2 linked regions of the Nothobranchius furzeri genome follow. The main gene of each other region encodes a partner of the protein of the gene in region 2 in a complex. Links are inferred from orthologs where the notes say so. Each region holds a gene or a part of one and is shown on either strand. Other genes may lie near its edges. The genes, in order: mios and seh1l.

Region 1 (3,918 bases), about 15 Mb from region 2:
ACTTTTGGAAGTTGATTTGCTACTTCAAAAGCTCTACCTTTACTCACAAGTATTTCTGTCACTTCATCACCATAAAGGATATAGGACAGATCGTACCACAAGGACTTGAGCTGGGGGTCATTCCCTCCAGCCAGCAGGTGGTTTCTCCACACCTGCAGAGTGTCGTGTCCGTACCTGGACTGAGCTCGCTCCCTCATCTTAGTGGCGATGTCTTTCTCAACGGTGCTCTCCGCTCCTTCGGCCGAATCCTCGGCGCAGTCGTATAAGTGTCTCCCACACGCCCACATGAGTGATGTGGTGGAGCTCCAGGCCAGAGAGATGCGCTCGAACACGGTGAAATCAGTCATGACTCGGTTGGTCGCGGACACCACCACCATGCGGTTCTGAGAGGAGGGGTGCCAGGCAAAGCTGCCAATCTGGCTTTCACATGGCTGCACGCTCCGCTCGATGATGGTGGGCTCTGTTTCATCCCCGATGGGCGTAGGAGTGTGTTGCATGTCGTACAGGCGGATGACGTTGCTGTCACGCGTGAGCGTGGCCAGAAGGCCGGTACGAGTTGGACACCATGCCACCTGAGAATGGAAACAGCAAAACACAGCTACAGTCTAAAGAATGAAGCATTAAATAAATGTCTCTTTAAAACAGGAAAAGGCTCCTTCATACCTTGGTAAGAGGTTTAGACTGCTCTGTAAGTGTGAGCACAGGCTTCTCAAATTTTCTCAAGTCCCAGATAGCCACCTGCCCCTCAAAGAAGGAGGCTACACGGTCGTGGAAGTGTGGGTCAACTGTCACGCCCTGGATGGCCTTGGTGTTGACAAACATCTTCTGGCTGGTGTTTCTCAGGTCAAATATTGCAAGGTTCCTGTGCATACCAGCCAAGAGCAGCTTGGGGTCTCGAAACAACCAGCACAGAGACAAACAAGCATCGTTTTGGCCAAGCTCATACAATGGCTTAGTCACTACCATGCTTGAATCCAAATCCACAGTTGAGATACGGATTTTCTCAGCTGCTACGCTGGTCTCTGGGGCGAACTTACTGCTAATATCCCAAATAAGAACAGAGAAGTCGGCCCTGTGCTTGTCCAGCCCTGCAGCCAGTAAGTTGTTGTCCACAGGGTTCCAGGCTAAAGTGTTGCATTGTCGCGCATGTTTGGGCACAAACTCTTTCCCCACTAGCTCTTTACATGTAGAGTTGTGGCTCTGGCCCAAACTGGTGAGCACAACTCTGCCATTAGCTTGTCCCACTGCAAGTAAACACTCAGGCTCGTGCTTCGGGTACCAGGCCACACATTTCATATAAGGGGTGTCAGAGTTTATAGCCAATAAAGTAGCAGCAGTTTCTTCGGAGAGTGGCAGAGTGCCAGGCTTTGTTTCTGTGCCACCCACAGGCCCAATGCGATACAGTCCTAGTTCAGAGTCGCAGATGACGTAGCGGTCCGGGTGGTGAGGAGACCACAGGATGTCCGGCTTTGAGCCACTCATGATTCAGAAGGAGCAAAATGAGCTTCAACACAGTCTGCTTTCAACAATCTGGAAATATGACAGAAGACATGGGAGACTGTGAATCAGACAGCAGTGGGTAGATGTCATCTCACAGCAGGCAATTGTGTAATAGTAAAAATAATGCAGTGCAGCATGATGCAGTTCTGGTCTACATGAGATGGTGTATGTATTTCTGCTGGAGGGGGACAGATGTCAAAATGACTAAAGACAGCTAATTATTCATGCATCAATTATTTTTTGACACAAAATGAGTTTAAATATTTTGTAAAATTTTTTACTACTGTAATATTTTACAACATCACATTTTATAATTTCAAAAGTTATCAAAATCTGGTTCAATAATATAGAACAAATGAGAAACGCGTTGATCCTTATATTTATTGTGACTTATAAACATAGCATGAAGTCAAAATGTTTCATGTTTGTTTGTCAGGGCTTCATTACCAAAGAACCAGATTTAGAATCATTGTTGAAGTTCTTCAATATAGTTTCACTCCAACACATTTTATTTTTAAAACCCTCTTTTTATTTCTTTGTGATTACTGGGATTCTAAGAAGATAGTGTTCACCCAGAAAGATAAAAACATACTGATCATGACCACAGATTATGATAAATTCGATTGCATTTGGAAGTCTTGAGACTTTTCCGCAGTAATCTCTCATAAAGTCAATCAATTAAGGTCAACGTGTGAAGAGTTAGCCGACATCTACTACTGAAACTTTGCAACTGATTTCAAACAGTTGAGTCACCCACGAGATGCTAACTAGCTAACAAGTTCTGATATCTAAATGAAGAAATCATTGTGGGCCCAAAGTTCAACCCATCTACTAAAATCCAAAAGTTGCACAAGCTCGTGAAAGAAAAGTACCAAATTTGCTTGTATGCTAGCTTACCTAAGCTAAGGCTAACGGGTGAAGGACGTGCTAAACAGGTTCTCCTTCACTAATTTACCCAGCAGTAAAAACGATTTCGCTACCAAGTGATAAAATTAACAAAAACAGTAAATTAGTACTTACATGTAGAACCTTTAAAAAGCCGACCGAGTTATGTTTTGATGCACACATGTCGTATACGGATGTTGTGTGCAACACCAAAATAATTCCGTACTGATTAAAGTGAAGAGAGTTCCGCAAGGTAACTTTCCCCGCAAGAGGGCGTGCAATGCGCAGGGAACGAATTGCCTCTTCTTCTTTTTTTTTTCAAACCAAATAATTATTTGTCTTATGGAAGGATTAAAACATTATAACAGATAGAGATTGTGTGACTTATTAAGGATTTTTATTTACTGAAAAACTTTGAAACTATTTTTAGATAAAGTAGATTAAGTTATTTGTTGAAATAATCTATTTTATTTATTAAATTATTTGTAACACTGCAAGGTAACCATTCCACATACAAATTAAAATATGTTGTTTGGATTAAGCATAGGATTTAGAAACTATACAATCATTATTATTGCTTTTGCAATCACCATTATAAAAAAATCACACAAAAAACTTTATTTACGTAGCCAATAATTACAGACAGGCTTCTAAAGGAATGACTCTTGCTCATTCATAGCTGAGGGAAGTCCTGGCGTTGAGCCACAGCGTATCAGCTCATCTCAGTCTGGGCTTAGTGACCCGATCCAAACGGGGCGCAGAACCTTTCTCCCACGGTCTGCATGGGCCACAGTAACTCATCACATCTGAATCAGGTAGAAGCTGATTTTTCATTTTACTTATTTAATGATGGTAAAAGTGTTTATTGCTGCACGATCATCATCATCATCATCATCATCATCTAAGGGGTTTGAAGTGTCACTAGGGCCCTGGGGAACCTGCCCAGATGCTGAAGCGGGATGTTTGTTTTGTATTTTCCATGCAGACCTTCCAAAGCCGGAGTTTGAGATGCTGCTGCTGGGAAGTCTGAGCAGAGGACTGGGGCTCTGGCTGCTGCTGTTAGCTCTGATTCATGAAGCCACCGGGCAGAGGAGGAAATCATCATGGAGGAAAAACTACACACCGCGTGATGATGGAAACGAAGTTCTCAGCGTTAGCCGCAGGAATACTGGTGAGAATCTTTCACTGGATCAGGATTGAGGAAACGGGATTTGACTGAACGACAAGATAAAATGATTTAGTTTCTCATTCCCTGACTAAACTGAAATGGTGAATACTGTGTGTTGTTGACCGCATGACTAATGTGTGTACTACAGTGAATAGCCCCGACCCATCGGGGGAGTCAATAGCAAAACATTTTTGCAGCAAATCTTTGATGTCCTGTTAGCCGTGAGACCAGGCGTCAGCGGGTCAGACGTGTTGTTTTAGCTCATCCCTCTGAGGCCAAAGGGATAGAAAAGAATTAAAACTGCGGTCCCTCCATCTGAACTTCTGACAGCCTGAAAGAAATGCTGCCCTTTGTCACACCTTTAT
Region 2 (3,918 bases):
TGTTTGTTTACCATTTTTTCCCTGCCAATATGGCGTCTACTAACTGAGAGTCACGTGGGGTCCGGAGCTCTATAGATGTGTGTAGTCAATAATTTGGCACTTTAGTGCATCTTATAATTTAAATATGCAGCCTAAAACTGTCAGTGTTGCGCCCCCTTCAGGTAAAAACTCTGCACTACATTTGAATTTAAATCTGCCATCACTGTTGGCTAAGAGGTACCCTTTGAAGTCAGCTGGTACATTATGATGTCACAATGCCGTTGTGAACCTGTTTGTGTGTGTTTGTTAACGGCTCCGCCCTCTCGGTCAGCCAGGCAAACGCATTCGTTGCATTTTTCAAACATGAAGTGGGAGTGTAGTAAGTTTCTTGTAGTGTGACTTGCTCTTTAATTAAATGAAATGCTACAGCATTTGTGGCCATAGCAACTCATGAGGGGAACTCATTCTCTTATTGTTTAGCTAAAAATGCAATAATAACTGTATTTATGTTACAGGTTAAACACGGTCATCTCCCCTTCCCTTCTTAACAAAACCAAAGTGTAATTCCCCAATGCATAAACATTAACATGCTGGTGCTGGTGGTGATGAGCTACATCGTAGCTACAGTTGCCCTGGGGCTCATTGTGTGTGTGTGTGTGTGTGTGTGTGTGTGTGTGTGTGTGTGTGTGTGTGTTTGTGTGTGTGTGTGTGTGTGTGTGTGTGTGTGTGTGTGTGTGTGTGTGTGTGTGTGTGTGTGTGTGTGTGTGTGTGTGTGTGTGTGTGAATAACTGGTTGTATTGTAAAGTGCTTTGAAGGGGGTTGTAGAACCCTAAGAAGTGAGTGACTTATGCTTAAGTGTACCATGAACATCTCATTTGTATCTAAAATGCAGTAAATTCGCCAAACTTGGCAACCCTGTTTGAATTGAAGCACCCCCCCCCCCAATGTGGTTCACTGTTCAAAAACCTCTCTCTCTCTCTCTCTCTCTCTCTCTCTCTCTCTCTCTCTCTCTCTCTCTCTCTCTCTCTCTCTCTCTCTCTCTCTCTCTCTCTCTCTCTCTCTCTCTCTCTCTCTCTCTCTCTTTCTCTCTGTCACGTGACAGGCGGGAGCTTGTGCTAACCAGTGCAGTGCAGCTAATCTCGCTGTTGTTTTTCTTCTAACCATGTTCGTAGCTCGGAGTATCGCTGCGGACCATAAAGATCTGATCCACGATGTCTCTTACGATTTTCACGGCCGGAGAATGGCAACATGCTCCAGCGACCAGAGTGTGAAGGTGAGCTGACTCAAGCTAGCATGTTAGCGTCACCCACGTTCCTAGCTTCTTACTGAACACACTCGTGTTGTGTGCTGGCACATTATGCGCTTATTAGCTAAATTAGACAAAATTTGTTTTAAAACTATAAACTAATTTAAAGTATTGCATGTTACTGTACTTACATTGTAGCATGCAGGCTAATGTGTGCAGACGTTTGACTGGAATATGAACGTATCAGTAAAAGCTTCAATCACGTAAGGCAGCGAGTGTTGTGTTTTAGGTAGGAACCATAGGAACTCATTTCGTGTGTTGTCAGTTTAAAATTAATGTGTGGAGATGACGTAACAGCAGCTGTTTATTGTGACTTCCTGACAGGTTTGGGACAAAAGTGAGAATGGAGAGTGGCACTGCACAGCCAGCTGGAAGGTAAACAACCTGCTTACGTTTGTTTACATGACCGTAAAAGCCCTTCCTGGGTAATCTTTGCTGTTTCAACAGATTTACTATTGCTCTACACTCACGGGCACTATCAAGTTTGCCAATAGATCCGGGTTGGACCTCTTTTAGACCTCTTTAGAACCACCTTAATCCTTCATCTCAAAGAGCCAACAAGAAGTTAAAGTGGTCCTCAGAGGCTCTGGTCCAACCTGACATGACAGCATCGGCTCCAACCATGATGAGAAGCTCCAGTTCCACCACATCCCAAAGGTTCTGGGCTGGACTGAGATCTGTTGACTGTGGAGGCCATTAGAGTCCAGTTCTAGAAACTAGTTAGAGATGATCTGAGCTATGTGACATGGTGCTGCTGGAAGTAGCATCAGAAGATGGGTCTATGTGGTCATAAAGGGCTGGACATGGTCAAACTCTTCAGCTTCTCTTCTTCTATTCTATACAACATTCAAACCATGGAAATGTCTTTTCCTCCACATTCTGATGCTCAGTTTCAACTTCAGCAAGTAGCCTTCATCATGTCTAGATGCCTAAATGGACAGTGCCGCCCGTCATGCGATTGGCTGAGTGGAAATGTGCAAAGCTGTAGAATAGGTCAATCAATCAAAGCTTTCAATCAATCAAAGCTTTATTTATAAAGCGCCTTCCGCAACCCTGTCAGGAAGCCCAAAGCGCTGAACATGGTACAGTTGTAAGTAATTATATTGAATAAATCAACAATAAAAGAAATTCAAATTACAAAATACAAATTACAAAATACAAAATGGAAATTACAAGATAGATGAAACATTCCGGTAAAATACAAATGTGTGAAACACATTTGGATTGAGTGGATGGATTGAGTGTACCAATGAAAACTGTGGAATGGATTCAACATAAAAGAGTGCCAAAATCAAACATGTTCTGGAAATGCCAAGCGGAGGAGGTGTGTTTTTAGGTGATTCTTAAAGACTGGCAGAGAAGGGGACAGCCTAACTGAGGGTGGCAACTGGTTCCAGAGTAACGGTGCTAGGACTGAGAAAGCTCGGTCCCCACGGGTACGACACCTAGACCGAGGGACAGCGAGCAGGCCTTGGTCAGAGGAGCGCAGAGCGCGTGATGGGGAGTGTCTTTTCAGGAGTGTGGCTAGATAGGGGGGAGCACCACCCTGGAAGAAATGATAAACAAAGACGAGTATTTTGAATTGTGAGCGATAGGAAATCGGAAGCCAGTGCAGGGAGGCCAGAACTGGACTGATGTGGTCCCGTTTCCTGGTCCCAGTCAGGAACCTGGCAGCGCTGTTCTGCACAACCTGTAGGCGATGCAGTGTTGACTGATACAACCCTGCATATAGAGAGTTGCAGTAGTCAAGCCAAGAAATTAGAAAGGCATGCAGTACCCGCTCCAGGTGGGCTCTTGACAGCATATGCTTGATTTTAGCAAGGCGTCTCAGGTGAAAGAAACTGGACCGGATCACAGAATTGATGTGAGCATCAAATTTAAGTCCTACATCAAGTTTCACCCCCAAACTGGTAACAACTGGTTTTGAGTATGGAGAAAGAGGGCCAAGATCAGCATAACGATCCACATTCCTGCTGTTGGGGTGAAAAACAATGAGCTCTGTCTTTCCCTCATTCAGATGTAGATAGTTGGACATTAGCCAAGACTTCACCTCATTAACACAGGAGACAAAGGACTGAATAAAGTGACCTTTCTCCTGACACAATGGAGAGTAAATCTGGCAATCGTCAGCATACAGATGGAATGATAGGCCATGTTTACGAAAGATTGACCCCAGAGGTAGCAGATGTACCTATGAAGTGACTGGTGAGTGTATATTTGTGTATTTTGGACTTATCCATGATGTAATGATGTGTGTGCAGACCCACAGTGGATCAGTGTGGAGAGTAACCTGGGCCCATCCAGAGTTTGGGCAGGTCCTGGCCTCCTGCTCCTTCGACAGAACAGCTGCTGTCTGGGAGGAGATCGTAGGGGAGTCCAATGACAAACAGAGAGGCCTGAGCCACTGGGTTTGTACAGCCACAGCTCAGTCATTAATGTTTTCATAGGTTTGCCTGTCTCGAGTCCTGACCCGTGTTTCTGGTGCTCTGATTCAGATAAAGAGAACAACACTGGTGGACAGCAGAACATCTGTAACTGATGTGAAGTTTGCTCCTAAACACATGGGTCTGATGCTGGCCACCTGCTCTGCTGATGGAGTGGTGAGGATCTACGAGGCTCCTGACGTGATGAAC

Evidence for each region.
Region 1: the proteins of seh1l (region 2) and mios are in contact, whole or in part, in a cryo-EM structure (PDB 7UHY), measured with the Homo sapiens proteins. The link is inferred for Nothobranchius furzeri from reciprocal best matches to the Homo sapiens genes SEH1L and MIOS. Residues at the interface, in NP_112493.2 of Homo sapiens: Met1, Phe2, Val3, Ala4, Arg5, Ser6, Ile7, Ala9, His11, Lys12, Asp13, Leu14, Ile15, His16, Asp17, Val18, Phe20, Phe22, His23, Gly24, Arg25, Met27, Trp47, Ser173, Ser174, Ser175, Asn230, Leu231, Gly232, Arg233; in NP_001357005.1 of Homo sapiens: Arg279, Arg316, Ser317, Phe353, Glu354, Arg355, Ile356, Ser357, Leu358, Ala359, Trp360, Pro362, Leu366, Met367, Trp368, Ala369, Cys370, Gly371, Arg372, Leu374, Tyr375, Glu376, Cys377, Thr378, Glu379, Glu380, Glu387, Asp389, Ile390, Ala391.

The regions. Positions count from the first base shown.
Region 1 is NC_091745.1:63,836,822-63,840,739, reverse strand, and holds the start of mios (GATOR2 complex protein MIOS), read right to left. Parts: upstream 2,613-3,918; 5' UTR 2,521-2,612; intron 1,531-2,520; 5' UTR 1,483-1,530; coding exon 664-1,482; intron 573-663; coding exon 83-572; intron 1-82. Other genes in the region: col28a1b (collagen, type XXVIII, alpha 1b), read left to right, coding at 3,394-3,556. UniProt on the Homo sapiens protein: As a component of the GATOR2 complex, functions as an activator of the amino acid-sensing branch of the mTORC1 signaling pathway. The GATOR2 complex indirectly activates mTORC1 through the inhibition of the GATOR1 subcomplex.
Region 2 is NC_091745.1:49,023,636-49,027,553, reverse strand, and holds the start of seh1l (nucleoporin SEH1), read left to right. Parts: upstream 1-1,061; 5' UTR 1,062-1,141; coding exon 1,142-1,252; intron 1,253-1,609; coding exon 1,610-1,660; intron 1,661-3,546; coding exon 3,547-3,693; intron 3,694-3,780; coding exon 3,781-3,918. UniProt on the Homo sapiens protein: Component of the Nup107-160 subcomplex of the nuclear pore complex (NPC). The Nup107-160 subcomplex is required for the assembly of a functional NPC.